Linked DNA regions of Rattus norvegicus. The protein of the gene in region 2 purifies or fractionates together with the protein of the main gene of each other region. This does not show direct contact. Links are inferred from orthologs where the notes say so. Each region holds a gene or a part of one and is shown on either strand. Other genes may lie near its edges.

Region 1 (7,690 bases), on a different chromosome or scaffold from region 2:
TTGCTGTCCTGGAACTCACTATACAGGAGTAGGCTGACCTCAAACTCCCAGAGATCTGCCTGAGTATGCCTCCTTAGTGCTGGATTTTAACATAATAAAATAGGAAACAAAGTATATACAAAAAATTTTAGTCAAAAGATGGGAAGAAAATAGGAAAATCAAGGGGAAGAGTGCAAGAAAACTAGTTTACAAATGACTACTTTGGAAAGGAGTTAGGAGTTAGAAACTAATTTGAGGAAAAGAATGTACTGTTTCCATACAGAAGAGAAATTAATGTATTAGGAATTTAATCTTAAAAGTTAGTTAAACAATTAGATCAAGTTTAACCTTGAGGCCAAGTTGTTGTGGGTTTGCTTGCTTGTTGCTTGGGACAGGGTTTTTTTTTCTCTGTGTAGCCCTGGCTGCCCTGGAACTCACTCTGTAAACCAGACTGGCCTTAAACCCAGAGGTCCACCTGCCTCTGTCTCCTCAGAGTGCTGAGATTAAAGGCGTGTGCCACTTCACTGCCTAGCTTAAGGCCAAGTTTGAGTGCCAGTGGTAGCTGAAAAAGAGGTAAGAGAAGAGTTACCAAGTCTAGGATATCAGCTGATCCAACTAGAAAAACTCCTCCTGAAAGAACTGGTTAAGGGAGTTTTCTGCAATGTTGGAGGACTGATTATAAATGTGTCACAACATGCTGGGTACATTGGGAGCAAGGCATAGACTTGTATTGATTGTTGTCTGTACAGCAAAGTAAGGTGACTGCAATTATGTGATGTGCTCTTTAGTTTTCTGTATTAAAGGATTTTTTTTCTTTGATTTTTTTTTATTGCAGATGTTCTTCCTATAGATTCAGTTTTATTATGTTGACATTTTATTTGAAATATAGCATAAGTTATCACAAAATATTCATTAAAACCCTAGAAAGCACACATTTTTGGACAGTTAATAAGTCTTGGTATGTATGATTTTTGTCTTTCCTTAGTTGAAAACTAGTGAAAAATAAATTCATTAGATGATAGCGGTATTAGGATATGTCTCTCTAGAACCTAGCACAGTGTTAGATACATCGAGACACAGCTACTCTTAATTATTTAATTATGCAATTATTGGTAAGTTTATTCAACATGTATGCTTGTCCTCCAGAGAAAGCTAGCACATGAAACATTTATACAGCATGTGGCTTGCTTGGGAAGATTGTTGTTGTTGAGACATAGGTCTCTGTTTTGTCCAGACTGACCTCAAAATCCTGGGTTAAAACAGTTCTTCAGTCTCCAGAGTATGAGACAGGACTAACGTATGTGTCATTGTGCTTGTGAAATTGGAAGCTTAGGAAAGAAATTGGGATTTTTCTTTTTTTTTTTTTTTTTTTTTTTTAGATCCAATTGGTAAGATATAATTGCCCACTTAAACATACAAAGCCCGGTACCAGCCATCCCTTGAGAACATTAATAACAACCTGTAACACAGAGCAGAATCTTAACATCACCTGCCATCTTGTCCTGCCACGGCTTCTCCCGGGATTTTTCTTAGGTTAAACCTACCTACAGCAGTAGGCTGTGATCCTTGGAAGCATCTTGATAGTAAGCTTTTGGATTTCATAAGTGTGAGTACAGCTTTATAGCATTTTTTTCTCCTAGAATAGTGTATAGAACTCAATTCATGTGCTTTTAATGTATTAAGTTGAGTCATACGAAATTGCTAATTATGTTCTTTTTTAAAAAATCTATAGGAACAACAATTTTGTGTGATAAAATCTAATTTTGATGTCAATTTGATTTGGATACATGATTGTTCTAGACGTTAGATTCTTTGCTAAGTGTTGATTTAAACTAGAAGAGAAAGTTATATTTATGTTAGTGATTACTTTGATATCACAACTTACTGATCAGTTAACAAGGAAAAGAACCTTAAAGGGAGAAGGAGCTATCTAATGATGTTTGACTTAAATTTATAAAAATTTTCTTCTTTGAAAGATTTCCAGAATAACTTTTTGTTGATATTACTCCTTTTTTCGTATATTTCCTCGAGTAAAAATTTGGAGTGTTTTGAAACAATTTTTTCATATTTTTGTGGATCACTTGAGAATATTAAAGTAACATTCAAGAGAGTTGTGAGGGTTGGGGATTTAGCTCAGTGGTAGAGCACTTGCCTAGCAAGCGCAAGGCCCTGGGTTCGGTCCCCAGCTCCAAAAAAAAGAAAAACAACAACAACAAAAAAACAAAAAAAAAAAACCAAAAAAAAAAGAGAGTTTGTGATCAGGTTGGGAATTTTACTGACTTAGATCAAAATTTTGTTTGTATAGTCAGTGTGTTTTCGTAATATGTATGATATTTTTAAATGATGTGTATGTATTTGTGTGTGTGTGTGTGTGTGTGTATGTGTTTGGAAAGGGCGGCAGTCATAGGTTTCTATAACTTGTGAACGTTTGCTGAATTAACATAGTTTTCTTTGTTTTCAGTGCCACCATGGCAACTGCACCGTACAACTACTCTTACATCTTTAAGTATATTATTATTGGTAAGTTTACTTAACGTGTATGCTTGTCCTCCAAAGAAAGCTAACACATGGAACATTTATACATCAGTACCTGAACATACTACTGCAGACGTGCATGCTTTTGATGACTTCAGAACTAAAGCTTTTTGATGAAGACACACATGCCTTTTCCATCATGGCCCCGGGTAGTGAAATGATGGTGGTTGTTCTTCAGGGCCACCTGCGAACATGTTAGTGTTGGGGTTATAAAATTAATTTCCTGCTTGTGCTGAAATATCCCAATGTCCTAAAAGTTTCAGGTCCTCTTGAATTCCAAAATAGAGAGAGAGCACCGATTCAGAATTGGTCGTGAAACACACACACACACACACACACACACACACACACACACACACACAGAGTTTTGTTTCTTTTTAAATGTCAAGACCTTGCTCAGATTGTCTTAATGCATTTATCCATGAGTGGTTGTAAATAACTGGAAAAGCCCAGATGGTAGGCTGAGTTGCAGACCAGTAGAAAAGCTCTTACAAGCTTATCCTGGCTGTGGACTTGTGTTTGATCTCCACAATGGAAAATAAAACACAACCTGTAAATAAGAAAAGACAAGAAAGGCCATGTCAAGTTTGTATAGCTTTGTGAGATGGCATCTACTGTAATGTAGAGATAAAACGAGACATAGTGAGCCAAGCTTCCAATTTTTAATTTGTTATTTATTTCCGTTTGCTTTTGTGATAGTTCGTTTGGATAGGCCAATGAATGCACTTGGGCTACCCATTTGGAAACAGTTCAGATTACAAGTACTATTCACCTTGTTGGTTGTTTACTAGTCTATCCTGCTAAAGTTAGAAGTGCTCAGTTTGCCTTTTGAGGAGGAAGATGCAGGGGCTGCAGTGTGATGTGCATGATGTTCTGTTACGCAGCAGTTATTGCATACAGTGATGCTGTGCATGAAGGCTGAGAAGTATAACTGCCGTCTGCTTTCTTTACACAGGGGATATGGGAGTAGGAAAATCTTGCTTGCTTCATCAATTTACAGAAAAAAAGTGTAAGTTCAATATGAAAGGTAAAAAAGACAAGTAGCTTACTTTATCCTCATGTTCTCTACGTTTTAAAAAGCACTATTTTTAGTGTATTTTATGCATCCGATTATAACCTGTCTCCATATTTACACTTGGGTTTTTAAAGTGCCATGATTATTTTTCTACAGTTTGTTTTAAAAGATTTATTTTTAAGTATGTGTGTTTATGTGTGTGCTTGTAGGATTATGTACATGTGAGTGCAAGGGCCTTAGAGGCCAGAAACAACAGATCCCCAGGAATTGGAGTGACTTACAGGTAGTTGTGAGCCATCTTGATGTGCTGCTGGGAACCAAACTCGAGAAGTCTGTAGGATCAGTATACACTTTTAACTGTGGAATCATTTCTCTAGACCCATGATTTTCTAATAGGTGCAGATAAAATACAGTATTATTGCCAATTAAATTGTCTTTTAAAAAAATTCATGATGTATGGTTATATTCATGTTGGTTATACTTATTTACTTATATATAAATAAAGACAGGGTCTCACTGTGTAGCTGTGGCTGACCTGGACTTGACTGTGTAGACTGAGTTGTCCTCAAACCCAAGGACATCTATCTCCTGAATGCTGGGATTAAAGGTGTGCCCCATCATGGCAGCTTGTTTGGATTTATTTATTTTGTTTTTTTGAGACAGGATTTCTCTGTGTAGTCCTGACTGTTCTGGTACTCACTGAGATCCACCTGCCTCTGCCTCCAAAGTGCTGGGGTTAAACATTGTGAGCCACCACTACATAGTACGAATTAATTTTTAAAAGTGTAAAATGTTAAATTTAACCCTATCTTTTCTTTTACTTTAAATGTATTTTTTTATCAACTTGTTTGTGTGTGTGTGTGTGTGTGTGTGTGTGTGTGTGTGTCTGTGTGTCTGTGTGTGTGTGCATGATCATGCATGTTGGTATATATGAATGTGTATGTTACATGTGGCTAGTACACACAGAGGCCAGAAGAGTGTGTTGGATTCCCTGGAGCTTAAAGTTATAGGCAGTTGGGAATTGTTCAGTGTAGGTGGTACAGGAAACTACACTCTGGTCCTCTGGAAGGACAGCAAATAATGTTCTTCACGACTGTGACATCTCTCAAGCTTCCCACCCCCAAAATCTTAGACACTTTTTCTGTATGTATCATTTTTTCACTATAATCAATTTTGAAATAATTAATAGAATTTTTTCTGTCTTTATCACTGGCTAAAGTTTAGAATACAATTCCTATTGAGGGTGGTGGAGAAAAAGGTCAGTATGTTGTAACTGATAAGCAAAATACAACTGAGAACATGGCATTTTTGTGCTGTGTTCCACACAAGTTTTCTGAAATTTGGCTATTTTCTTTTCTCCAACAGTTATGGCTGATTGTCCTCACACAATTGGTGTTGAATTTGGTACAAGAATAATTGAAGTTAGTGGCCAAAAAATCAAACTGCAGATTTGGGATACAGCAGGACAGGAGAGGTTCAGAGCTGTTACACGGAGCTACTATAGAGGAGCTGCAGGTGCGCTCATGGTGTATGACATCACCAGGTAAGATGACATCCTGCTTTGAAGTAAACCACTACTTTGGGCAGTATGGTTTCTTTTTTATTGATTTGGGTCTCCTTTAGTTTGTAATTGGATATCCGTAAATTAATTTATTTGGGGTTTTATGACTTCTGCTCTAAAGCTTGAAAAACTTTTTAACATGCTGATCTTCTCTAGAAGTTGGTGAAAGAAAGACCATGGGATAATGGGGCCTAAAAGAAGAACACAGACTGCAGAGTTAGCTGTCTGAAGAGAGGCGGCTTTATATGAAACTTACACTTCAGGAAGGCAAGCTAGTGCTAAGGAATTCTATTCGGTGTGTGTTAAAATCAACACCTCTGTGAATAGGAGCAGTGAGGCATGAGACACTTAGTAGACTGGTTCATTTTGGTGTTGGAGTATAATGAATGTTTGAATATTACTCATTTACTTAAATTCACTTTTCTACCACGAATTGAAGTGACTTAAAACCCTACATCAAGATTCAATTCATGACAACATGGTGTTTTCTAGAAACTCAGAGCATTTGATATGAGGTCACAAAACAGGAATATAAAGGTTTGACTTTGGAGCATGTAGCCAAACTGCCCCTTACTAGACCTGAACAGGTCTTTCTCTGCTGTGAGATAAAAATGAACTGGTCGCCTCTCATCATGATGCAGAGTCAGCCAAAGCACTCCTAAGAAGAGCTCCTCCCTCCTGAGGGGACAGAGACAGTGAGTGGGACCAAGTGAGAGCTGGAGACTGAGAAAAAGCTTTGTGCTGGCTCATTTTGAAGAGTCAGAGAGGCTGAGCATAAGAAGCCTGAGCTGTGCACAGGGAAGGAGCCCCTTGCTGTGTGACTCCTCTCACTCTGACACACTCTTGAAAATGCCGCGTTAGAATATTTATAGGGACTGATAGAATTATATACATAAAGCCTCGGTAGATTTTCAGCAAATAGTAAGGTAAGTTTTAATTTTCTTCATTGTATGGGCAGTTGGTACATGATCAGTAGATGGTCTTGTGGGGAGATTATAAACCTGGCTGTGGTACAGAACTGCCTCATTATGAGTTATTACTGCATTCCTGATGACTTAATTAAAGGTCCCGTCCATTACCAATACTCTGAAATATGATGTGTGCTTAACATGCAGTTTATTTTGCTTTTAAATATATATTTTAAGTATAGTAATATTGTGGTAAAATTTATGTGTATTCAAGTGATCAAAAGCACTTCATATGGAAACAGCAGAAATGTCCATCAGCTAAAGGAATGGATACACATCAATCAGGTGGCATATCCACACAGTGAACTGTTTTTGAGCTGTAAAAAGGATGACTGATACATATCAGATGTAAGTTAAAAGGCCACAGGTGATTCTCTATACTGACCTAGAATAGGCAGGAAGATCGCAAGGGCATGGCAGCACAGACTCTCTCTTCTGAGGGTCCTGTGAATGGTCTAGAATTTGATTGTAGTGATGCTAAAAGTAAATTATATTTTTAAAGGGCTTATGGTGATTGATTATATTTCAATATTTACTGAAAAAAGTACTTTGGATGTTAGGTTCTCGGTGACTTTAGATAATTCATGGTCTCAGGTTGCTGGAAGAGTGATGATACTTTTCTACCAATTATTTCTATCAATCCTTAACATTTTGCAACTTAAAAGTTCCCGCTTTGATAATAGTTTTTATCTTTGGTGTCAGCTATAACTGTTACAAGGCACTTTCCTGAGCTGACACTGAAGCTTGTTATGTCAGTAGTTTTGCCACAGTCAGAATGCAGTGAGTACGCTTGTAAACGTAGTGTGAAGTCAGGAAGTAGAAAGCTGAGCCATCCTAGCGTGGAACCTGTCTGCGTGTGGATGTGTTGTGTTAGGGTAAGTTAGATTAGTGCAGATGACATCATGCTTTTTAAATTTGCTCAGATAAAGTAAACATATACCACAGTCTGAATCTCCAGGTGCTTTAACCACCTTGCAAGTAAGAGCTGCAAGATAACAGCTTTCTTTCTGGTAGCTGAGGTCTTGAATTTCTAGATGAATGCATTAAATGCCCTTTTTAAAGGCAGTTTTTAATCTCTGTATTAACTCAGTCCAGAGTAGTATGGACAAGGAACTTCTAGCATTTAGGAAGTAGAGGAAAGAAGATCACAAGTTGGTGGCTGGCCTGGGAAGCATTTTAAAAAAAAGGGAAGAAGAAAGTAAAAGAACAGTCTAGCGAAGATGAGTGGTGTACTGATTTAGTGTGTCCGCCTTATCTCTGACTAGAGTCGTTAACTAGAGGGTAGGTGCAGAGGTACTGTCTCCCTGAGTGTGTTGTTGGGTACATGTTTGGTACTGTTCTCCAATTTGTGACTAGACCATCTGGATGATTTTAGGGAATGTTTTGAGTCTAAACTGCAAATCTTGGTTCTGAATAGTTTGTGGTTTGCTTGCATATTGGTGTGTTTATATACATTTGCCTTAAATATTTCTGATATCCTTAATATAGTTGGATATTGAGCTATTTAAAAATGAGTTGGTGGCCAGGTATGATGGCACGCACCTGTAATCCAGGACATGGGAGGATTGAGAGAAAGTTGGCTACATTAAGAGAGGGAAGATGGCTTGACCTACAGAGTGAGACCTTGTTTCA
Region 2 (7,661 bases):
ATGACTCCTTTGCCATGTAAGGGAAAAAAAGGTTATCCTGTCATATATGGTTTTCCTGCTACTGTGAGCCCAGTACAGGACAAGGATGTGGGATGGATGTGTGTGTGTGTGTGTGTGTGTGTGTAGGTATATAGGTATATATGTTTGGGGTGAGAAAGGTCTTTGTGTGGTGTGTTCACCAAGGAGATGGATATCACAGTATCCCAGGTGATGTTGCTGGGATGTTACTGGAGAGGGATCCTCTTAGGAGTTTGGCTTTCTCATGCTTTTATGTCTTGGTTGTTGGGTCCTGAACACCACACAATCCTTTGGGACCCTGGCCCTTCTTTGAACCCAACCCCTTGGACTGCATGTAGGCAAATACCAGACCAACTGTTAAAACCAGTTCTAGGTCTTCTACCCTTGAAATCTCAGCTGGCAGCTAAATGATCCCAAGAAGGAGGCCTACAGGACTCAGGAAAACCAGAGTAAGGAATCCTAAGCTGGAGATGTAAGACCTAATTGTGCTCCAGCTGCTCCTAATTTGGTTATGACTGGAGCCTTAGTTTTCCCATATGGTAAATGGGGACACTGTATTGACAGCTGGCTGGCTATAAGGATGGATCTAGGGTTGCTTAGGTTGGAGCCAACCTGATCAGGATCTTCTTAAGGTTCTTCTAGAGCCTGACAGTACTCCTGTGCCTTGTCCCATAGGCTTTCACTGACCTATGAACCACTCTTTGGTGCAACAGTGACATTCAAGTAAGTTCTGTTGGCTGAAGTTTGGCTGGGCTGGTATGTCTTCACTCTATTTTGTTCATCTGACATCTCTGCAACCCCCACCTCCCAGGTTCATTCTGGCTAGTCGCTTCTACCCAGTATCTGCCCGATATTGGTTTACCATGGAACGACTTGAAATCCACAGCAATGGCTCGGTTGCCCATTTCAATGTTTCCCAAGTCACAGGACCTAGTATCTATTCTTTCCACTGTGAGTACGTCAGCAGTCTGAGCAAGAAAGGCAGTCTCCTTGTGACCAACGTGCCCTCCCTCTGGCAGATGACTCTTCATAACTTCCAGGTATTGAAAGGGTGATGGGCCCCCAAGCTGGTGGCAATAAGGGGCGGGAAAAAGGGCCCAGAGAATCTCTGCATGGTTTGAGCATGTAGCCGAGAGAGTTCCATCCTTGTATAGTCTCTGAAGGTATAACTATTCATTAATTCCAGAATCCCAGCACTGAACTGTTTGTAGAACCTTGTGGTCCCATCTGATCCATGTCTATGTATCTCCTAGATCCAAGCCTTCAATGTGACTGGTGAACAGTTCTCCTATGCTAGCGACTGTGCTGGCTTCTTCTCTCCGGGCATCTGGATGGGGCTGCTCACCACCCTCTTCATGCTTTTCATATTCACCTATGGTCTGCACATGATACTCAGCCTAAAGACCATGGATCGCTTTGATGACCACAAGGGCCCCACCATCACTTTGACCCAGATTGTGTGACATATACCAGAGAGGGATTGAGGGAGTATTGGTGTCTAGGTTTCCATTTTGTGACACAGTGGATGGAAAGGTTTGTCCTCTTCCTACTATAGCATGAACCCTACATACACCACCCTCAGCCTGTCTTGCTTCCTCTTTCCTGGACAGGGACTTCCCTGAGGCTATCCCCCACTTCTACCAACAAAGTGTATTATTCTTCATAGATAAATCTTCCAGGCTTCATCAAGAGGGGAAGGGACCTTAATTCTAGGGTGCCCCCCTTTCCCTTTCTCCTTATTTATTCTTGCCCCTCTGCTATTATTTCGTGCTGTTTATAGTGCTTTTGTGTAGTAAATACTCACTCCCCAAGCTTTATGGAGCTTTCCAGCAATAGCCATGAACTTGAGGTCCCTTGAATTTGAGAGGTGTGGAAAGGCTAGTTAACTGTCCAGCTTAGCCTTTATGGGTTTTTTTTTTTTTTTGGCGGGTGGGGGTTAAGAATGAGCGGTACACTGGGGTTTATTTCTGTGACCTGAGAAGGAAGAAATCACCACGAGAACTGGAGAACAAAGTGTACTCATTGGGTTTCTGGTTTGTTCTCACAAGGATTGCCTGTCAAGAAGCCAGAAGTATGTGTGTGTGTGTGTGGGGGGGGTGTGCTCTGTTGTTTCATTCCTAATAAAATAAAGACGTGTTGCCATGTGTTGGGCTCCAGCCACTTATTTCTACACTGGACAAGTAGATTTGTTCTTGACTGAAGGGAAGAACTGCTCAGATGTAGTCCTGTCAGGCAAGAAATGAGAGAGGAAGGGTGGGAGGGTCTTCAGTAAGCCGATACTCTTAACAAGCCGGAGAAGAGGCTTGTTACTTTTCCTCGCCATGGGAGGAATCCTGACAATGGCAGCTCTCCCAGCGCTAGGGCCAGCTGCAACAACACACTGCAGGGCTTCCATGCCTTTCTGTTTCTCCCAGGGGCGGTACGGGAGCGCGCGGGGCGGGGCGGGGCGCGCGCAGCTCCCGCGCAAGGATCCTTCGCTAGACGTAGCACCTGCCGCCGGCCTGCCCCGCCCCGTATTTCTCTGGGCTCACGGAGAGCCGCGTTAACCCCTGCAATCATTCTGGTGCTGGGACCCAGGTGCCAGAACCCCTCCTAGAAAACAAGCGAGGAAATGGTGGCTTTGGTTGGGCGTGGCTTGGCCAGAGGAGGGAGAGGGACTCATTGACGCTGCGTAGGGATCGGGAGACGACCGATAGACGCCATCTTTGGGTCAGTGCGGCGGCAGCGGCAGCGGCAGCAGCAGCAGCAGCAGCAGCAACAGCAACAGTAGAGGCATTGGTAGCAGCTGCTGTGGTGAAGGAGGAGGAGGAGAAGAAGAGCGGGCGCTGGTACCAAGGCCTGACCATGGATGAGGAATACGATGTGATTGTGCTGGGGACAGGTCTTACCGTAAGTGCCACCTCAGGCGCTCGTAGCCCTGCATCATGCCATCCCCCACCCCGCAGTGATGCAGAGTCCGGGTTACCCGACCCATCCTCCCATCATTGCGTTCCTGCCTCCAGCCCTGGAAAAGCCCATGCCCACCCCACTACCTCATCCTAGAGTGTTGATGCCAGTTCGCAATTCTTCGTAGAGGGCCCCACTTTGGCCAGTATTCCAGCACCCTAGATCTTAACCACGGACCCCTCACCTTCCCTATCTGTGTCACTGAGGTGGAAAACTCACCCCCCTCACACACACTGGACCCGTTGCATCCAACCCCACCCTTCGCCTGCACTCATCACCTGCTCAAGTAATTGATTAGCATCTTTTACCATCTTGTGATCACACTAGGGCATGGAGTATGAAGATAAAGATATGGGGGCTTTTCAAGGGTGGGCCCTCATCCTGCCTCTCTGCCTTTTGGGAGGGATAGGGAACCCATGGAATGTTCCAGAAACAGCGGGAGGGAGGGAGGGAGGGAGTGTGTGTGTGTGTGTGTGTGTGTGTGTGTGTGTGTGTGTGGTGTGTAGGGAGGGGGTGTTAGTGACCGCTTTCCCTCTACCCCAATTCGGTTTCCCATGGAGACCTCAGAGTGAATATATATCCTCAGCCTTTGTCCTTGGGTTAGTGACAGTGACTGGTGAGAGTGTCCGGTGTCCCCGTCGCCCCCCCCCCCCCCCGCACAAATCTTTTTTCGTTTGAACCCTGAGCCTAGAGCAGTGGATGCACAGCCAGAAGAGAGTCAGGGGCTCCTGCCCTTAAAAGGAGGAGCAGGGTGGAGCCTGGGATTTCAAGGACTTGGCCTTATCTTTCAAAGAGCCTTTGAATTGTTTCTTCTGTAGACTCATTGTCTTGTCTTTTTGTGAGCTCAGAGCAGGTAGATACTTTTGGCTTGTTGATGCTAGAAGAACTGTAAGCTCTGTCCCCCAAGCCTCCTTTAATGCTCTAGTAGTTTACTCAGCAGGGTTATAAAGGAAACATCATATGAAGCTATCTTCCCCTCCCCAGTTTTAGGCACTGGAAAGAGGTAGGACTTTGCATTATGAATTTTGTAGTGGGCATGAGGCAGGGACAAATCAGAGATGCTCATTGGAGGGTAGATGAGGTATAGCTGCCAATGCCACTCTTTCCCCAGGAATGCATCCTGTCTGGCATCATGTCTGTGAATGGAAAGAAGGTGTTGCACATGGACCGAAACCCCTACTATGGGGGTGAGAGCTCTTCTATCACACCCCTTGAGGAGGTAAGATTTCTTATTCTCAGACTTGGGCTTAGACCCAGACCCCTTGTTAGTCCCCCACATAGGTGTAAAGGGGGGAAGTAGTTCTCAGGTCCCAGGCAGGAGAGTGGGGAAGGGAAGCTAGTCCTTGACATTTGTCTTTCTTTCCTGTCCTGCTTACAGCTATATAAGCGCTTTCAGTTGCTGGAAGGGCCCCCTGAATCAATGGGCCGGGGCCGAGACTGGAATGTTGACTTGATCCCCAAATTCCTCATGGCCAATGGTGAGGGAGATTAAAAAGGGCGATGGGGGTGGTGAGTAGGAAGATGGGGTATGGGGTGTTCAATCTCCAGAATATGATCAGTCACACTACTGAGAGTTTTTTGAAGGAAAACACACCCTTACTCCCTTTGGACACAGGTCAGCTGGTAAAGATGCTACTGTATACAGAAGTGACTCGTTATCTGGACTTCAAGGTGGTAGAGGGCAGCTTTGTATACAAAGGGGGCAAGATCTACAAAGTGCCATCTACTGAGACTGAGGCCTTGGCTTCTAGTGAGTATGAGTCTCCTTAAGCAGAAGAATGGGGCTGGAGGGGACAAACTGTTTTCAGGACAGTTGGGCAAAAGGCTCCTCTTTGCATAAACCTAATCTTAGCTCCGTGTAGTCCTAGAGGCCCCTTGCTTTATAGTTTCTTTATTGGACAGTGCTACCAATCTTGGCAAGTTGCCAGAAAGGAAGTTCACAGAAGAGGATTCTTTTTTGTCAAAGGGCCTACTTGCCCTAAGTGGAGCTGGGAGGGTCTCTTCCTACAAATAGGAAAATTGAGACCAAGAAAGGTGGAGCAGTGTTGCATAAGAGAGTTCTGGTGGGAGCCAAGGCACCAATTTTCCTGGCCTGCTCTGTTAGAAAGAGGAGCTCTATGTCCGAGTAATGCAAATGATCTTTTCAATACCTTTCTTTCAGATCTGATGGGCATGTTTGAAAAACGACGCTTCCGAAAATTTTTGGTGTTTGTGGCAAACTTTGATGAGAATGACCCCAAAACCTTTGAGGGTGTTGACCCGCAGACCACCAGCATGCGTGATGTCTACCGGAAGTTTGACCTGGGCCAAGATGTCATTGATTTCACTGGCCATGCCCTGGCGCTCTACCGCACTGATGAGTGAGGGGAAAGCTGGCTGGTGATGGGAGCCCCTTGTCTGGCTCACACCCTCTCCACACCTGCCTATTGTACCTACTGCCCATCCTGCATGTCACTTGTACTCAGCTCCAGGCTCACCTGTTCCATTTCCATCCCTCTCCATTTGACCCACATCTTTGCCAGGTCACAAAGGGTGGTGGGAAGGCTGGCTGGTGTCTTTGTAAATGAACAAGGGTGCTGCTATCAAAGCATATTCCCTGGTTCTTTTTCCGTAGTTACCTGGATCAGCCATGTCTTGAGACTATTAACCGCATCAAGTTGTACAGTGAGTCCCTGGCCCGGTATGGCAAGAGCCCATATTTGTACCCACTCTATGGCCTGGGTGAGCTGCCTCAGGGCTTTGCCAGGTGAGGATCTGTCTTTTTCAGCTAGCATTACTGGTAAGACAAGGCCAAGAATGGAAATTACCTTGAATATTTTTGTGGCATCTCCTACTTTCCCATCTAATTTTCATGTATATTACTGTATCCCTGGGTAATGGGGGCATAGCCCTAGTGCATTAAAGTGCAGAGTAGAGGTTGGAGAGATGGCTCAGCAGATAAGAGCACTTGTTTACACCAAGGACCCGGGTTCAATTCCAATACCAATATACATGGTAGTTCACAACCATCTATAATTCCAGTTTTAGGGAATTCATAACCTTCATCTGGCCTTCATAAGCACCAGGCATGCATGTGGTGTACAGATATACACGTAAACAAAACACACACATGTGTGTATGTGTGTGTGTGTATATATATATATAATTTTAAAAGTAGGTGGAAATACAAAGTAAAGAAGTAGGTCACCATGAACATAGCTTCCCCCAGCTCTTGGTAGTACCAGGACTAAGTCTAGGACCCCGGAACCTTGTGTCTGGGCTTCCCTGGAGTTTGAATCTCTTACAGAGAGTTCTTTATTCTTGACTCCTAGGCTGTTTCTTGGTTTGTTTTTGTTTTGTTTTGTTTTGTTTTTTTGTTTTTGTTTTTTTTTTCGGGGCTGGGGACCGAACCCAGGGCCTTGCGCTTCCTAGGCAAGCGCTCTACCACTGAGCCTAATCCCCAACCCCTCCTGGGCTGTTTCTATGTGGAGCTACTTCTTCATGCTACCTTCTGTTGACCCTTTGCAGAACAATATGTACAGAAACACCAGAGAGGAAGGAATATGTCAGTATGGGCCCTAAGTTTATGGGAGGGACACCTGAAACAGTTGGAGTTAAACTCTGTATACCTGTGTTCTCTACCCCACTGGTGGGGTGAGGAGGGTACAGTAGAATTGGTCCCCACATTTCTGAGAAGACTTCCCCATCATTTTTCTTACTACAGATTGAGTGCCATCTATGGGGGAACATACATGCTGAACAAACCAGTGGATGACATCATCATGGAAAATGGCAAGGTGGTGGGTGTAAAATCTGAGGGAGAGGTAAGCCTGCCCTGTGCATTTGTATTACCATGGTTTGGGTAAGATTTGGTCTTTTTCAGAGCTATGTTCTTAGGGAACCTTATTACTTCTTAACCCTGAGAACCTTATAGCTAAAGCCTGGGTGGTCAATAAAACTCTACATAGTTATTCCTGTTGGCAAGAAATATCCTTCAAACTACAAGGTGTAGTGGCACACAACTGTATTCCTAGTACTTGGGAGGCCAAGGCAGATGGATCTAAATTAATCAAGAGGTATCCTTCAGAAGTCACATACTTTGTATTCCTGAATGTATTCTTTTGGAAAGGGTGTCCTGTATCCCAGGCTGGCCTCAAATAGTGTATATAACTGAAGATGAACTTTCAATCCTTGTGCTTCCACCTTCTTGATGCCGAATTACAGGTGTGTGTCAAGATACCTGGTTTATGCATTGCTGGGAATCTAACCCGGGGCTTTATGCATGATAGGCAAGCACTCTACCAACTGAGATAGTATGCCTATCCCTCAACCCCCAACTATCCTTCAGCCTTGGGTGCTGAGTTTTGGGCCAAACACTCTCAAATAAAAAACTTTTTTTTCTGGCAACAGAAAAAAAAGTTTTTGTGATCATTGTGTTTCAGCAATAGGGTTATCTAGCCCTGTATGTGAGGACTGATCTCTCTGAGCTTCAAGGAAAGGGTTATGTACTACATACAGGAGGGACAGTGATGACAGCTCAGAGCTGTCTGGCTTTACTTTTGGCTCAGCTTAACACTACCTGGGACAAGGGAATCATCCAACAGGTGCAAAATCTTCTGCTACCTTCACAGGTGGCCCGCTGCAAGCAGCTGATCTGTGATCCCAGCTACATCCCAGACCGTGTGCGAAAGGCTGGCCAGGTTATTCGCATCATCTGC
Region 3 (7,627 bases), on a different chromosome or scaffold from region 2:
TCACAGCATGTGCTGGGAGACTCATTTTGGGATTCCAGAAGCATACCCTGGCCTCAGGGAATTCCCCCTCCAAGCCAAAATTGAGGATTCTCACAGGGTGTGACAGCCGCTGTCTCTTTAGACAACCGACATTCCAAGCGCACCTCTCTTCTGGTGTCGCCATGAAATCTTCATGACGGGCTCTCCCCTTCCCTCTTGCCAACAGAGGCAGTCCGGGTCCTCTGAGGTCTAGGCAGGGTATCTGACAGTCATTCTCTCTGCTGTATTGCATCATGATTGTGTCTGAGCTCTGTTGAGTCTGTAAATTCTTGGAAGGAGAAAGTTCACTATCCTCTATGACACGGGGCATAGTAAATGGTAAGACACCATTAAATAGTTACAGAATAAAATGCCCAGTGGGTTTGGGGCAGAACTGGGAATCTCATCTTCCTAGGGCGGACTCTGCTTCGCTCCCTAGAGTGTCCCACAGCTGTGAATCCTGGAAGTCCCCTATAGGAAACGGCTCAGAGATGAACGAATCCTTGCACAAGGACTCACACTGGTCACTGTGACTGACCGCACACAACCTCACATTTACAGTATTCTGAAGAAACAGGCTCTGAGACTGCCTGAAAGCTTCTCAGGGGTGGATTTCATAGTTGCCCTTGAAAATGCCATCTCTTCAACCTTGGAGCAAACATGGAGATGACCTGACAGGATACTTCCTGGGCCAGGAAGACTTGGAGTGCTTATCTGACGTCTACCCTAACCTTAAGGCTTCTTGCTGTCTCCTCTAAAATGTTTTGAGGTTTTTATTTGATGTATGTGCATGTTAGTCTGAGTGTGTGTCTATATGCCACATGTCTGAAGTGTCGGCCAAGGCCGGAGGATGGCATCAGTTCTGAGACTGGAGTTACAGACTCTTGTCAGGCACCGTGTGGGGGCTGAGGGTTTAACCAGGTTCCTCTGGAGGATCAGCCAGTGCTCTTAACTGCTGGACCATCAAACTGCCAATCAAAGGAATGGCATGAACCTGCCCGACCCAGGAGTTTCCAATCTAGAACACAGGGTCTCTTTTCAGCCAGTACCTTAGGAATCTAGGCTCGTGTTTATGACATCACCAGGCAAAAAGAGCTCAAGGCCTACATCAGACACTCTGTGTGCTGTTCAAGGACTTTGCTTGCAATTCCCTGAATAACAAGAAAATTATGAACCGCATAAATCTACCAGAGCAGCAGAGTCGTGAAGGAATAATAGTACAACCATCAGCCGGAGCACCACGTGGTGAGGCGGTTAAATGATTGATGGCGGTGTGAACGCACGCACGAGGCACATGTGTGCTTAGATACTCCTAGAAGTTTATGGGAAAGCACGTATCCATTCAACTAGTAAGTGTTTCACGACTGTCCAAGAAACTTTAATGGGGTTACTACGGGGACTGGTTCTAGAGGAAAACTAATGTCAACTTTGAATTCTGTAACCATCTGTATTTTTTTGTTTGTTTGTTTTAAACACCAACACTGTTTCTTATGGGGAAGGATTAGGAAGCAGCAGTATCCCAACAGGTGCTTGACTGGAAAGCTCTGGAAGGTAGTAGGAAGTAGTGAGGAGGAGGCTGGGTGGGTGGAGCTCGGCTCGCAGGGAGCCTGCCTAGCATCTGCGAAACCCTGGGTTCGAGTCTCAGCACCACATAAAACGGGACTCAGGAGGTACAGGTAGGATCAGAAGTTTATGGTTATCTTCGGCTACTCGGAGAGTCAGGTGCCATCCTGGGCGACTTGAGAACTTGTCTGGAAAAAGCCAAAATCACAGGGATGGGGCAATCCCTGCAAACTTGCAGGGAGCGTGGCAGTGGCAGCGCACGGGGACCGGCAGGTGAGCTTCCGCTCGTACTGGGGCTGACTCCGCGCTGCGTACGGCGTAACGGCGCCCCGGGAAACTGAGGCAGAAGGAGAGGAGGCGCAGGCGACCAGGGTGCACCCCACGGATCCGAATCCGGAACCGCTACCCGTTCCGCCAGGAGGTCGGGCGCCTGGAGTCGTGGTGCTCGGAGGCGAGTTCCGCCCAGTGCTGACCTCCAGACCTCAGCCCCGCAGCCGGCCATCGTCTCTCTTCCATCAGGCCTGCTAAACGGCTCGGTTCTCCCGAGGGCCGTAGCGTCCGCACTCGCTCGCTCGTTCGGACCTCGTCCGGGGAGCGTGCGCACTGCGCGTGCGCGGAGAGGGCGCGGCCGACCGGGACTGCGGCTGCGCAGAGGCGGGTCCAGCCGCCGCGCCTGCGCAGTAGTGGGGCGGGGCGGGAAGGAGGGTGGCGGCGGCACCGGCGGCGGCTGCTGAGGAGGAGGAGGAGGAGGTGGGGGGAGCGGAGGGAGGTGTTTCTGTCAGTTCCGGCTGTTTGTTCGGGAAGTGGATCCGCCGCTGCCGGAGCAGCCGGGAGGGAGCTGCGGATCCCGAGGCCAGTACCGACCCCGCCCGCCCGCGCGCGCGCGCCGCCCCCGCCCGCCATGGCCCGGGACTACGACCACCTCTTCAAGCTGCTCATCATCGGCGACAGCGGTGAGGGCCGCAGGGGCCGGAGGCGGTGCGGGCCCTGCCGGGCGCGGCCCGCGGGGGCCTCGGGGCGGGCGGGCGGGCGGGCGAGGAGGCGCGGCCCGCGCGGGGCGGGAGGCGCGGAGCTGGGCGGCCGCAGGCCCCGGGGCCGCAGCGAGGGGCTCCGGGCTGCTCCTGGGCGGGTTGGGGCGCGGAGCGCGCGGGCTGCACGCCCCGGCGCTTGCTCCTGCCTCACGTGTGACCTTGGTCAAGTCGCGCGATCGCTGGAGTTGGAGAGACCCGGGTTCGAGTCCCGGGAAGGCAAGCTTTTTCACTCTGTGACCTTGGGCAAGTTGCGTCGCCTTTCTGAGCCTCAGTTCCTGCATCTGAGAAGTGGGGACTTGTTAAGCTGAGCGGTGTTGAGTATTCAGTGAGCTAAAGTAGGGAAAGTGCTTAGCGCCTGGCCCGGTGTAAAGTAACCTCCAAGTAACTAACTGTTGGTGTTGTCAGCGTGAGTCTCCCTGTGAAGACTCAGCCTTCTGTGAAATGGGTATTTCCAGGACTTGTCTCTCCGGGTTGCTGTGGACTTGGATGAGGTGCGGCAGGTACGGCCATAAGCACATTCCTGCAGAATCGTCACTAAGTCTCTGCATGGTTCAGTTCTCATCTGTAGAATGGAGTAGTAGATTTGCCTGACAGAGCTGATGTTAGCAGCCAGTGAGCACACACATCACTATGTGCTTGGCACACAGTGGGTGGACAGTGTTTGCTGTTATCTTACCTGGGTGCTTCATCCGATATTTTAAGTGCTTTGTGCGCGCGCGCGCGCGCACACACACACACACACACACACTCTGTCTCTCTCTGTCTCTCTGTCTCTCTCTGTCTCTCTGTCTCTCTCTGTCTCTCTCTCTCTCTCTCTGTCTCTCTCTCAGTACTGATCCATCTCTGATTTGTAGAGCAGTTTCTGGTACCCAGTGCTTAAGTGCATTTGGTCAGTCACACTGGTTTCTGGCCAAGGATGAAGCATTTTAGAGGTGTTTGGAGTGTGGCAGGTGACCAGGTCTGTGAGGTGACGGTGAGTTCAGAGAGGCCAGCCCAGGATGTTTGTGGGCGCTTAGCTGAGGTGCCAGGATGATGTGATATTTGGAAGGAGGCTGGGGAGCAGCTAAGTTTATAGATTAGACTTGAGTGTGGGTCATGGGACTTGAGACAGCCAACTTGGTGATAATGCCTGTGGATTGTTAAGGAAATAGAGCAGTGAGTCCCCTGAGACTCAGGATGTAGGCTTGTTGGGTGACACTGTCATAGATAGGTCATGGAAGTAAGTGGTGAGTGGATTTTGGTCTCATGGGAGAAGCTGGGTTGGGATGTGGCTCGTGGTTTGGTTCTGGTGGGAGATGGCTGAAGTCTCAGGGGTTGCTGGGGGGTGGAGGGGAGGTGTCCTGGAAGGGGAAGGCCTCACTGAGGAGGTAGAATAGTAGCTACGGCTGGGAGTGGAGTTGAAACAGTGGAAGACTGACCCGTTGTGGTTTGAATGAAAGGAAACCAGGCAAGCCATGTAGATTTGAACTTGGACCCAGCTAATGGGGTTTCTCTGGGCTCTGAGGATTTGCTGACATTACGGTGATCTCTCTCCTTTCGGAGCTAAAGTCAGCCCGCTGTGGTCAGAGGTCTTTATCCCTCCCCAAGACACGGCCAGTTTTAATATCCAAAACTCGAAAGGCTAAACTCAGCAGGAAGTTGTAGCTTGCTGGCTTTCTCTCTTTTGTTCAACCCAGGGCCTGCTTTCTTATGGTGCACCTTGCAGGGCTAGTGATGGTTTCTGCTCAGAAGTCGGGTGTGGGAGAGGACTCAGTGGTCAGTGTCTGTAAGGTCTGGCTCCAAGGGTCAGCGTGAGCATGTAGGCCTGGGTTACAGAGAAGAGGGGGACACTGTGCTGTTGGATTTCTCCTGCCACTGAGCTTACACATGAAGCTGAGCATTTAGGAACCCGGAGATGGTAGCCAGGGGAGCAGGGAGCGGGATGTCACTGCCCGGCTGGCTGCCTTGGCCCCTTGAGTGTGCTTCTGAAGGTGTGTCAACTGATTCTCAGACACTGTTATCTGATTCTCACCCCTGGTCTCTGTGGTTTGTCAGATAAGGAAACCAAGGCTCAGAGGAGAAGCCTTGTCTGCCCAGAGTCACACAGCCCCTGCAGCTGTGCACATGTGTGCTAACCCCAAGAGCAGGCCGTGTTGGGCTGCAGGCACTGGGCCTCACTGGACCCTGGCGGCTCTCCGTCTCACTCACTCAGCCACATTGTACACACTTCTGGAATGTGTTCCCTGGGCATGGGCATCTTTCTTTATCCTCTCAGCTGCCCCGCATTGGCTTTTGGTTTGTACCCACGGATGCCAGTTACCCTCATTCTCACAGCCTGAGGCTGGTGTGCCTTTAGACTAGGTAAAATCCCTCTCTTAACCCATGAGTAGACGGGAGCTGGGAGGTGGGCGTGGTCTGTCTGCAGGTACACGAGAATGTGGCCACTGAGGCAGAATTAAAGTTGATATTACTTTACTTGAGTTTATAGCAGGCTGGCTAGATCTGTTGCCTCAGAGGAAAGCAGTGGGGCAGAGCTGCGGAAGGTCCAAAGCAGCACGCGGGGTGTGTGTGTGTGTCTGTCTCTTTGTGTGTGTGTGTGTGTGTGTGTGTGTGTGTGTGTGTGTGTGTGTGTGTGTGTTGATGGTAAGCGGTGGCATCCCTTCCTGCCAAGAGGCATCAAGTCCCTGGGGCCTGTGTCCTTGCAGGATAGCAGACCTTAGAGCTCGGTGGCTAGAAGAAAGTGTTGCTGTGCTGGAGATCGGCCCTGGGCCCATCTGTAGGGTCGACAGCAGCTGGAATATTTGGGAGGTGGCAGGTCTTGGTTTCTGTTCCTCTCAGGAAGAACAGAGTTGGAGGTTTGTATCAAGTCCATGGCGGCAGACCATGTTGTGACTAGTGGTTTTTCTGCAGCCAAGGATTTCAAGTCCTTGCTGTCACTGCAGATGGTACCTCTCTCTCCCCTGTCTACTACAGATACGGGAGATTTGGATAATTGATGATGGTGGTGATGGTGGTGGTGATGATGGTGGTGGTGATATTGTTAGTGATGGTGGTGGCAGTGGTGATGGTGGTGGTGATGATGATGGTGGTGGTGGTGGTGATGGTGGTGGTGATGGTGGTAGTGGTGATGGTGGTGGTGATGGTGGTAGTGGTGATGGTGGTAGTGGTGATGGTGGTGGTAGTGGTGATGGTGGTGGTAGTGATGATGGTGGTGGTGATAGTGGTGATGGGTGGTGATGGTGGTGGTGATGGTTGATAGTGATGGTGATGATGATGGTGGCGGTGATGGTGGTGATGATGATGGTGGTAGTGGTGGTGGTGGAGGTGGTGGTGGTGGAGGTGGTGGCAGCGGCAGCGGCCAGATGTGGTATTGCGCATATTAAATCCCAGCACAAGCAAGTGGCTTTGAGAGTCTGAAGCCAGTTTGGTCTACATTGAGAGTTCCAGGCCAGCCAAACCCTGTCTAAGTTGGGGAAAGGATTCTGCTGTCCTGAAGTTTGAGAGCTGCTTCATTGGTGACGCTGCTGTAGTAACATGGCATAGCATGGCTGTCACTGAGACTGTCGGCCTGTGGAGAGGGGTTTAGTTGGTAGCTATTAAGTGCTGGGCTCAGCTCATGGCTCTGAATGAATGCATAGGGTGAGGGAAGGGAGGTCTCGGACCTACAGCACTCACTCATTGCTCAGTGGCTAGAATGAGCTTTTAGCTGAGTAAGCTGGACTTAGAAGGCTCCAGGAGGAAGCAGAGGCACCACAGGGCCCATGGAGTGTCAGTATCAGGCAGAACACGGTGTGGATCAGTGCAGGAGCCTGGCTGTCTTTGGGCTTAGCAGGAAGCCTCATGGCGGAACAATGAGGAAGTGGTACGAAGCAAGCGCTGTAAGCAGAGGGCTGAGCTACAGGTGCTCGGCAGCAGGGCGTCCTCCCCAGGGCCTCCTTGGGAAGTAGGGCTCAGCTGTACCCGTTCTTCACGGTCGGGTTAGAAACACAACTGTACAGCCCAGTGTGCAGGAGTGGTTTGCAGCCTCCGCTACTTGAGGGCCAGGGGTGGAACAGCCATCTTTGAGAACTGGAGTCAGGCTCTGGGTTTCTCTCATAATAGGCACGTATGCTTAAGTTTTGATTTGAGTGACAGCGTTTATGGGGTCCTCGGGTGACTTGGTACCTTTGAAGGCATTTCCGTTGGACATAGAGTGGAAGAAATGTGGACAGGAGCCATGGGACAGGTCACTTTTGCTCCTGTGCATAGGAGGTTACATGGCTTTTGGCTGCTTTGTTTTAAGTCATGCTTCATTGCTGGATACATTGTGTTTGTTCTTGTGTAGCAGTTTCACAGACGTGAGGATATTAGGTCACAGAGTCTGGGGTTTTTAAAGTTTTCTCGGTATTGCAAAATTACTTTTCAAAGAAACTGAAGTCATTTGCATTTCTACTCAAGGGGCTGCAAGTGTCCCCATTAAAGGCTAGGATTGTAGTTCAGTTGGTAGTGTTAGCTTCATAAGCATGAAGCCCTGGGCCACCGTACCTGTGACCCCAGTATTTGGGAGGTAGAGGCAGAAGAGTGGGATTCAGGTCGTCCTCCATTACAGTGAATTCAAGTCTGACTGGGGCTATGTGGCGCACGCTTCGAGCCACTACACAGAAGTGAATGTGCGCTGCCCTTTCATTCTGAGCTTGCCTGATGTAGCCACTTTGGGGTGGTGGAGGCTGGAGGACAGGAGGCTGGTAGGTGTTCTGGCCAACCAGAACCACTGTGTGGATGTCACAGGGAAGCCGGGAGCTCCATTGGCAGGTTCCGAAGCCCAGGCACTCATGGGGTGGTAGCCAAGTTTGTCCAGTGGAGTCCCCGCCTCACTCACTCAGCCACACTGACTTAGCAGGGGCTCTGGTCGTGTGAGCCTTAGTTTCTCCACCTACAGAGTATCCCTGATGACATCGAGGGCTCTCTCCGCCTTTCCATTCCCTTGTAAACTGAAGTGGCCTGAAGTGTCCTGAGGACCTTGCTGAGGACACGCTTGGACTGGTCTGCTTTGGTTG
Region 4 (7,824 bases), on a different chromosome or scaffold from region 2:
CCTAACAGCGGGGTGAGACGGAGTCAGCCACACTTGGCATTAGAACTAAACCTAAGTGACTTTCAGTTTGGGTTGTGGCACGCCGTTTTTTACTGAAAGACATCGGCTTGCCAGGTTCCTCTTACTTTGTTCATGTGTTTCTTGGTGGAACACTGAGAATGTTCTTTTCTAACAAAAGCAGCTAACAGTGCCCATCAAACACCATTTGACTACAGCAGAATCAAAGATGCTTCCCATCTCCTTGGGTAAACCATATTAAGTGCTGCTGTTTCCTGAAGCTTGGTTCAAATCCTTCATCCTGGCTTACTATTGCTAAAGGCATGGTTCCGGCCACTCTTGTCCTCAGGAACCCATAGTGGAAAAAGGATGTCCATTCTTCAGGCTGCCCTTTCTCCTTGCTGTTTTCATCACCAGTTAAAGAGTTGGGGTAAGGAAGGGGGACCCAGCCAGATTCAGGAGAACTAATATCCTGGCATGACAGAAATTGGATTTGAGTAAAGAGCAATTCTGACAATAATGAAAGTAATGCAAATGGAACATTCGTGCCAAACAGTGGCCTTTAATACTAACAAAGATCTGTGGAGTGAGAGACCCTCAGAGTAGGGCCGAGCCAGCCTCTCGGGACCCGAACCCTGAACCAGGAATGGAGAGATCAGCATACTGACATTAATGTTGGACGGTCCGAGACCTGAGACCTTCTTCTTTTTCTCTTCTCAAACCCCTTCTCTTCACTTTTCACGTCCTTGGTTCCTCGCCCTCCTTTCCCTGCCCATTTCATCTTTCCTTCCTCCCCTGTCATCCACCCCTCCAGGCACCACCACAGCTCCTCCCCTCTGTTTTCCATCAGTCTACCTCAGTCCACCTCCCTCAGGTCTAGCCTCCAGGTTCAGGGTGAATAGGAGGCAAGAAATGTTCCTCAGCCCAAGGAGCACTTGTTGCTGTTCTTCTTGTCAGATACTTTCAGGTCAGTGCTTGAGGGCTTGCTGCTGTTTCCCTAGAGTTGGGAAGGTGGAAAGATCAGGTATGTGAAGGGCTGGCAGGAGGATCAGTCTATAGACACCCTCACCCCCACTCTCTCCCACATCCCCCACTGTCCACCTCCACATTGTGGTTAATCTTGGCCTTGTTCCTCCTCCTCGACTGTTTTTTCTGTGTAGCTCTGGCAGTCCTGAAATTCATACTGTAGACTAGGCTGGCCTTGAACTCATAGATCAGCCTGCCTCTGCCTCCCTAGTGCTGGCATTAAAGGTGTGCTCCACAGGCACTCTGAGTTTAGAAAGAGTAGCAGAGGATGAACTTGAACTCCTGATCCTTCTGCCAGCATCTCTTGGTGCTGAGACCATAGGAGAGCAGTACCACAGTACTCTCCAGTCACTTCAGTTCTTGAAGACACACGCTGTGGGACTCAGCCAAGTAGAACCAACTCACCGATCTCCGGCCTCCTGTCTTGAGCAAGATGTCACGGGCCAGGGAACTGAAAGCCTAAAGGGGAAATTGGTTAGCTGGGGTTGAAGGAGGGGATAAACCTACTAGTATTTTATCTCTTGGAGAGTGACTCTCACCTCATCCACATTCACACTGGATTTGGCACTTGTCTCAAAAAATCGGATTCTGTGCTCTCGGGCCAACTGTAGGGGATGAGGTAGGAAGGAGAGAGCTGGATAAAGGGCAGAAGCAAGGCATTCGGCCACAGCAGCCCGGCCTGACTCACCCTCTCAGCCTGCTCTCTCTGCACCTTCCGCTTGGCTTCCATGTCACATTTGTTCCCCAGCAGAAGGCGCTCCACTCCAGCAGACGCGTTCTGGAGACAGCAAAACAAGCAGAAGGTGGGTCTTTCCTCTAAGTCCTGCACTTAGAAAGCTGAGGCAGGAGGAGTTCTGTGAGCTCAAGACCTGTTTGGGTTACCCGTTAAGTTTCACACCAGCTGGGGCTACTACAGAGGGAGACCCTGTCTCAGGAGGAAAACAAAAACAAAGGAGGGTTGGGGCAGGAGAGGGCTCAGCTGTTAGGAGCACTAGCTGGTCTTCCAGAGGACCTGGGTTCAATTGGTGGCTCACAACCATCTGTCACTCCAGTCCCAGGAGTCCACCAACTTCTTCTGACTTCTAAGGGCACCACCAGACTCTTGGTTCACAGGTATACACGCAGGCACAACACCCATACACATTAAAGTGGAAGCCTGCCCATCCTAACCCCCACGCCCTTCAGGGGTTTCTTTGTTCCCCCGTGTCTTTGGAGGCATCTTACCTCTTTGATGCTTTTCATCCAGTTCTGAATATTCTCGAAGGATTTCTCATCTGTGATGTCATATACTAGGATAATGCCCTAAGGGATGGTAAAGTTCACCTTGGACCACATTCCCACTTAGGTTTTTGTTGTCCTCTAAGTGACCATCCAAGTCAGGTCCATAAGTCTAGTCACAGGCTACATGGGGCTCTCTGTAATGTGCACCGTGCCCTCCTTCTTTACCCCTGCATGCTCATACCCCTCTGTGCTCATGAAACTATGACTGTAACCCATGTCCAGACCCACCCTTCATACCATGGCTCCACGGTAATAGGCGGTGGTTATTGTCTTGAATCGTTCTTGGCCAGCTGTGTCCCTGAGGCAGAAGTTTTCATAGAGTGAGATAGAAGCAAGAAGTCTTCAAGGGAGAAGTCTTTTCCTAAGAATTCAGCTTTTGAAACACTGGAGGTGGGGGCTGAAAGGAAAAGACTCAGGAAACGGTAAGGGGGACAGGGAGAAGGACAGTTGGGTTGCTATTCAGACATTACAGGCCTGGGAAACAGGATGTCTCCTGTTTACTCACAGATGCCAAGCACTGTCTTAAGTATCACTTTGTGTGTGTGTGTGTGTGTGTGTGTGTGTGTGTGTGATCCTATCTAACTCTCACTGTATCATTGTGAGGCATGGCTCCTTGTCCCCATTTTATAAATGAAACAAACTTGTGGAGGGAGGCTGGGTCATTACTGAAGGTCAAGCAAAAGTAAAGTAGCAGAACCAGGGTTAGACACTATCTGCTGCTGCTTGTCTGGTATACAAGAATGCTTCAGGAAAGCCTCATAGTGCTCCTGTGCCTGGAGTGTCTACAGCCTCCTTCAGATAGTCAGGTTACAGTTATTAATTACTGTGTGGTTTTTAAAATACAGTCTCTCTACATAGCCCTGGCTGTTCTAGAACTCACCCTGTAGACCGGGCTGACCTCAAACTCACAGAGATCCACTTGCCTCTGCTCCTGGAGTACTGGGACTCAAAGTGTGTCCCAGCATTTACACCCAGGTTGCTCTGAAAAGTTTAGAGAGCAATAGATTGGGAGTCAAATTTGTAATTCTGCACTTATCTTTTAACCACTTAGAACCTGTTTCTACATCATGGCTCAAAAGACATTTGTTCTCAAGTCCAGAGAATGCTCTGGGTGAGGAAAAGACACAAACGAACTGAAAGTGGGACACCAGGAAGAGAGACGCAGGGCCAGCTGATAGCTGACTAAGCGAAATGGAAGAATTAGGAGATGTACTGGACCAGGGGAAAAAAGGGAAGAAAGCAAAACAGAAAGACCAACATGGTGCCACATGCCTGCACATGCCTGTAACACAGGAGACAGGAGCTAATAAAGGTCTTTCTTTCTCAGCTACCAGCTACATAGTGAGTTCCAGGCCATCCTGGGCTGCATGAGACTGTGTCTAAAAAACAAAACAAAACAAAACCCAAAAAAACAAAAACTAAACTGAAAAGAGAAAAAGTAAGATAGAAGAACTGAAAGGGGGGGGTTGCAAGTGGGGGAGGGTGGGTTCAAAGGTCAGTCTGGTCCGGAGAGCTGGGCAGCTTACTTACCAGACTTGCAGTTTGATTCTCTTCCCCTCTATTTCCACAGTTCGGATCTTGAAATCAATTCCTGGGGTGAAGGGTGTGAAAGCCAGGGAAGCATGGGTGAATGTGTGAAAGGGATGGGGGGAGAGAGTGGGGGCTGGATGTGTGAATAGGAGAGCTTTCCAAAGCTTTAGTCCAATGGTAAGCATACTGTTTTTCCTCAGACTTTATGACGTTTTGGAGAAAGGTGGTGAAACTCTTCGGGCGGGCTAAAAGCATGCCAGCTGACAACTTTTCCCTCCATCTCTACCACACTGTTCCGTTCTTCTTTCCCCCTCCCCCAACAGACACCTCAGGTCCACCACCCACCCTGCTCACCCTTGGGGGTAGTGAGGAATGAGAAAGGCAGCTGACTGAGTCTATGTGAATTAACTAGTGAGCTAGGTGGGCACAGGAAAAGAGAGAGAGAGAGAGAGAGAGAGAGAGAGAGAGAGAGAGAGAGAGAGAGAGAGATTGATTCTTTCCCTTTTGTCACCAGGGGAGATGAGATTCCCAGTCAAGAGGGAATGAAGAAAGATAAAGAGAGGAAGGGAGGAGGGAAAAGGGGAAAGGATACTCTTCTTACTGGAAGTCTGGGCACATCTCCCAGGTCTCTTGGGGGACTCCTAAAAGTGTCTGAGTGCCAAAGCTTACTCAGAGACCCCAGAGTCCCCTCCCTTCCACTTTCCCCACTCGGCAGCACAGTCAGCCACTCTGCAGTACCTTGCTGAGGTAAGGGGGCTAGAAGGATGATTTGAAGGTAGAGCCAACCCGTGCTGGGGGAAGTTTGGAGCCCAGTGGGTCAGTAAAAAGCCAACAGAACTGGGAAGCAGGGAAAAGAGAAATTGTGAAGAGTGAATCTAGAGAGTTTAGGTGAAGAGATGTATTGAAGAAGGAAGCAGATGGAAATGAAAATAACCTATGAGGATTTAAAGAGACTAGGGAGATAGTACCAAGAAATGGGGTGGGTGGCAGCAACTGGGGCTACCTGGAATCATCAGAAAGGCTTGAAGTTTTGAGTGTTATTCAGGGACATTATGGGGGATGGGTCTGGGGCAGGGTCGACAGACTGAAAATTAGTGTCTTTCTCTAAGGGGATCAAAAAAGTAGGTTCCTTAGTCTTTCAGGAGCCCGTGTATGAGGGTGGGCAGAGGGTGGGTCTGGGGTCTGGTACACAGACTGTGGGCTCACCGATGGTGGAGATGTAAGTGCTGTTGAAGTTGTCCTCTGCAAAGCGAATGATGAGACAAGTCTTGCCCACCCCCGAGTCCCCGATCAGCAGCAACTTGAAGAGGTGGTCGTAGGCTTTGGCCATGGCGGACACTGGGGGCGCCGGGGGAGGGGTCGGGAAGAGCCAACGCTGGTAGGCGGGATCGGAGGGTTGGCAGGCAGAAACCGCCAGAGTCCCAGCCAGGAAGTTTTCCTCCCTCTCCGCCCAGGCCCCGGGAAAAGAAGAGAGGCGGCCCTGCTCCGGGCTCCACCCCTCTTCGCTAGTGGAGAGGCCTGTCCAGCTCTAGCAGTCCGGGCGCTGCCTCCCCGGCCTCGAAGAGCCAGTCTCCCTAGCCCTTCCCATTGCCTTTGGCTAGCTGTCTTTCCTCTCTTTCTACCGAAGTAGAAAGAGGAATTTTAAAAAGATTAGGGAAAGAGGGAAAGAAATTTACCAGTGGTGGAGAGAGGGGTGGCACTGGAAATTGATAAAGGGCTGAGGCGCTATTCATAAGCTTTTGAGTTTATGATAAAGGTCCTAAGAACTTTCTGTCAGCACTGCGCTTCTTAAGTTTACAAATCCCAATTCCCTTTGAAAAGAAGCGGGTTGGGAGGTTAGTATGCTGGATCCGTCTGCCCCCTGGTGGAGCAGAGTGAAGAACTGAAATGATAAAAATCAGCCCCATCAATTACACTCAAAGCACACGTAGCCGGTTCACCTTCTGGAGCGAGCCTAGAACTCAGTAGTGCAACCGGCCTTCAAGGTCAAGTAATCCTACTGCCTCAATCTCTCAAGTGTGCAGATTACTGGCCGGCCCCCAGGCACAGCTTTCTGTCTTTATACAGGAGTGCTTTCCCTACATGTGTTTATGCACTAGATGACTAGTGTGTCTGCAGAGGCTACAAGAGAGCAAGCAATGAGCCCCTGAATGGAGTTTGAGAGTCTACAGGTGCTGCCATATGGCTGCTGGAAACTGAACCCAGATCCTCTACAAGAGCAGCTAGCGCTTGTCATCTTTTCAGTCCCTTTAAAAAAGGGGAAAAAAAACACAGAAAGAGGGGTTGGGGATTTGGCTCAGTGGTAGAGCGCTTGCCTAGCAAGCGCAAGGCCCTGGGTTCGGTCCCCAGCTCCAAAAAAAAGAAAAAAAAAAAAAAAACAAAGAAAAAGTCCCTAACATTTGAGTACTGACTGTGAGAAAGTGTCTTAATTTGTTACATTATGTTTGCCATAATCTATGTTTACTTTTGTCCTTTGATACAAACACAATGTATCAACAATGTATCAGTTACCTTCCCCCCCCCCCCACTACTTGACAAAAACAGTTTACCAGACGCTTGCTCTGGCTCATAGAAGGTACAGTCTACATGACAATAGGAACGTGAGGTATCTAGTCACTTTTCCTCGGAAATCAGGAGGAGAGAGATGAATGCTGGTGCCCAGCTCATTCTCTCTGTTTTATTCAGGACGGTGAATGGTGCCACTCATTGTCAGGTGGGGGTTTTCCACCTCACATAATCCAAGCTAGAACTTTCCTCGATCTAGAACATGTCCAGGGATTGGATTCCTCGGTGATGTTAGATCCTGTCAAGTTGACAATCCATATTGACTACCACACACAAATAACTATTTAGTTTATTCATTCGTTATATTTACTTGTATGTGTAGGCACACATAATGTGTTTTATAAAAAGAAAGAGCAGAGATATGTTTCATGGAAGTTCAGTAAGGTCTGCAGGCCCATGCTGAGGCATCCCCCACCCCACCCCTGTACCAGCCACACACAGTATAGTAAGTATATAGAATAGCGTTTACAGGGAATAGAGGGGAGTTGAGGGAAGAGAGGGAGGGGAGGAGAGAGGCGAGGCAAGGCGAGGAGAGGAGAGGAGAGGAGCACGTGGAGAGAGGGTGAAGAGGGTAAGGAAGCAGGAGAGAGAGAGTAAGAGCAATAGAATGAGGAGGGGGTAGGCACACCTGGCTGTTCCCAGGTAACTGTGGGGCGAAGCCTAGATGAAATGTTAACACAAATGCCATGGTGAAAGTGGGGAGCAGAGAACATGCTGCAGGATGTCGAACCAAACTTCCCCAGAGCCATCTCACCAGCCCGATTTATTTGAGGGAAGGTCTCTCTGTGTTGCCCAGATCAGTCTCAAATTTGTGGGATGATCATCTGGACTGAGCCCCTTCAATAGCCAGAACTACTGCCATCCACATGTACCCTTGTGCCCACTTCAATATCCCAATCTGACTATTCCATTTTTCTTTTTCTTTTTTTTTTTATTCTTTTTTTTTTTTTTTCCGGAGCTGGGGACCGAACCCAGGGCCTTGCACTTGCTAGGCAAGCGCTCTACCACTGAGCTAAATCCCCAACCCCTCCATTTTTCTTTGAATGGTGCTGGGGACGGGTCAAACGCAGAGCTTTGCCCATGCTAGGCAAAGTACTTTTCTACTGAGCTACATTATGGGCTTGAATTCCCTTCCACTTATTCCCTCAGGGCTCATTACGTTTCAAGCTGTAGCACAGACAGGGATATTTCCTGATTTTCCTCACTGACTAATCCTGTCCTTTAACTCACACTGAAGTCCAGGTATGGTGGATTTGCAGTCCCAGCACATGGGAGACAGAAGCAAGATGAAGGTTAGACAGAAGCATGTCTAAGGTCAGCCTACTCTTGGTAGAGAGTTGCAAGCCAGCCAGGAGACCTTGTGATTGCTAATCTTGGTTGCCAACTTGACATACCTGGGAGGAGGAAACCTGAGGAACTATCACC

What was found.
Region 1: the proteins of Gdi1 (region 2) and Rab14 purify together in Homo sapiens (affinity purification with mass spectrometry; 3 studies listed by BioGRID and IntAct, counting the BioPlex papers as one, with this or other methods). This does not show direct contact. The link is inferred for Rattus norvegicus from reciprocal best matches to the Homo sapiens genes GDI1 and RAB14.
Region 3: the proteins of Gdi1 (region 2) and Rab35 purify together in Homo sapiens (affinity purification with mass spectrometry; 3 studies listed by BioGRID and IntAct, counting the BioPlex papers as one, with this or other methods). This does not show direct contact. The link is inferred for Rattus norvegicus from reciprocal best matches to the Homo sapiens genes GDI1 and RAB35.
Region 4: the proteins of Gdi1 (region 2) and Rab13 purify together in Homo sapiens (affinity purification with mass spectrometry; 4 studies listed by BioGRID and IntAct, counting the BioPlex papers as one, with this or other methods). This does not show direct contact. The link is inferred for Rattus norvegicus from reciprocal best matches to the Homo sapiens genes GDI1 and RAB13.

Annotation. Positions count from the first base shown.
Region 1 is NC_086021.1:38,906,436-38,914,125, reverse strand, and holds the start of Rab14 (ras-related protein Rab-14), read left to right. Parts: upstream 1-2,441; 5' UTR 2,442-2,447; coding exon 2,448-2,499; intron 2,500-3,469; coding exon 3,470-3,523; intron 3,524-4,894; coding exon 4,895-5,072; intron 5,073-7,690.
Region 2 is NC_086039.1:157,236,162-157,243,822, forward strand, and holds the start of Gdi1 (rab GDP dissociation inhibitor alpha), read left to right. Parts: upstream 1-2,738; 5' UTR 2,739-2,862; coding exon 2,863-2,907; intron 2,908-4,075; coding exon 4,076-4,183; intron 4,184-4,342; coding exon 4,343-4,442; intron 4,443-4,579; coding exon 4,580-4,714; intron 4,715-5,125; coding exon 5,126-5,324; intron 5,325-5,578; coding exon 5,579-5,710; intron 5,711-6,667; coding exon 6,668-6,767; intron 6,768-7,574; coding exon 7,575-7,661. Other genes in the region: Atp6ap1 (V-type proton ATPase subunit S1 precursor), read left to right, coding at 1-16, 694-741, 830-1,058, 1,272-1,481. UniProt on the Homo sapiens protein: Regulates the GDP/GTP exchange reaction of most Rab proteins by inhibiting the dissociation of GDP from them, and the subsequent binding of GTP to them. Promotes the dissociation of GDP-bound Rab proteins from the membrane and inhibits their activation.
Region 3 is NC_086030.1:46,636,696-46,644,322, reverse strand, and holds the start of Rab35 (ras-related protein Rab-35), read left to right. Parts: upstream 1-2,378; 5' UTR 2,379-2,482; coding exon 2,483-2,534; intron 2,535-7,627. UniProt on the Homo sapiens protein: The small GTPases Rab are key regulators of intracellular membrane trafficking, from the formation of transport vesicles to their fusion with membranes.
Region 4 is NC_086020.1:177,970,395-177,978,218, reverse strand, and holds Rab13 (ras-related protein Rab-13), read right to left. Parts: upstream 5,250-7,824; 5' UTR 5,165-5,249; coding exon 5,041-5,164; intron 3,896-5,040; coding exon 3,835-3,895; intron 2,702-3,834; exon of another isoform or gene 2,603-2,701; coding exon 2,542-2,602; intron 2,326-2,541; coding exon 2,248-2,325; intron 1,802-2,247; coding exon 1,712-1,801; intron 1,658-1,711; exon of another isoform or gene 1,629-1,657; coding exon 1,563-1,628; intron 1,483-1,562; coding exon 1,429-1,482; intron 995-1,428; coding exon 917-994; 3' UTR 854-916; downstream 1-853.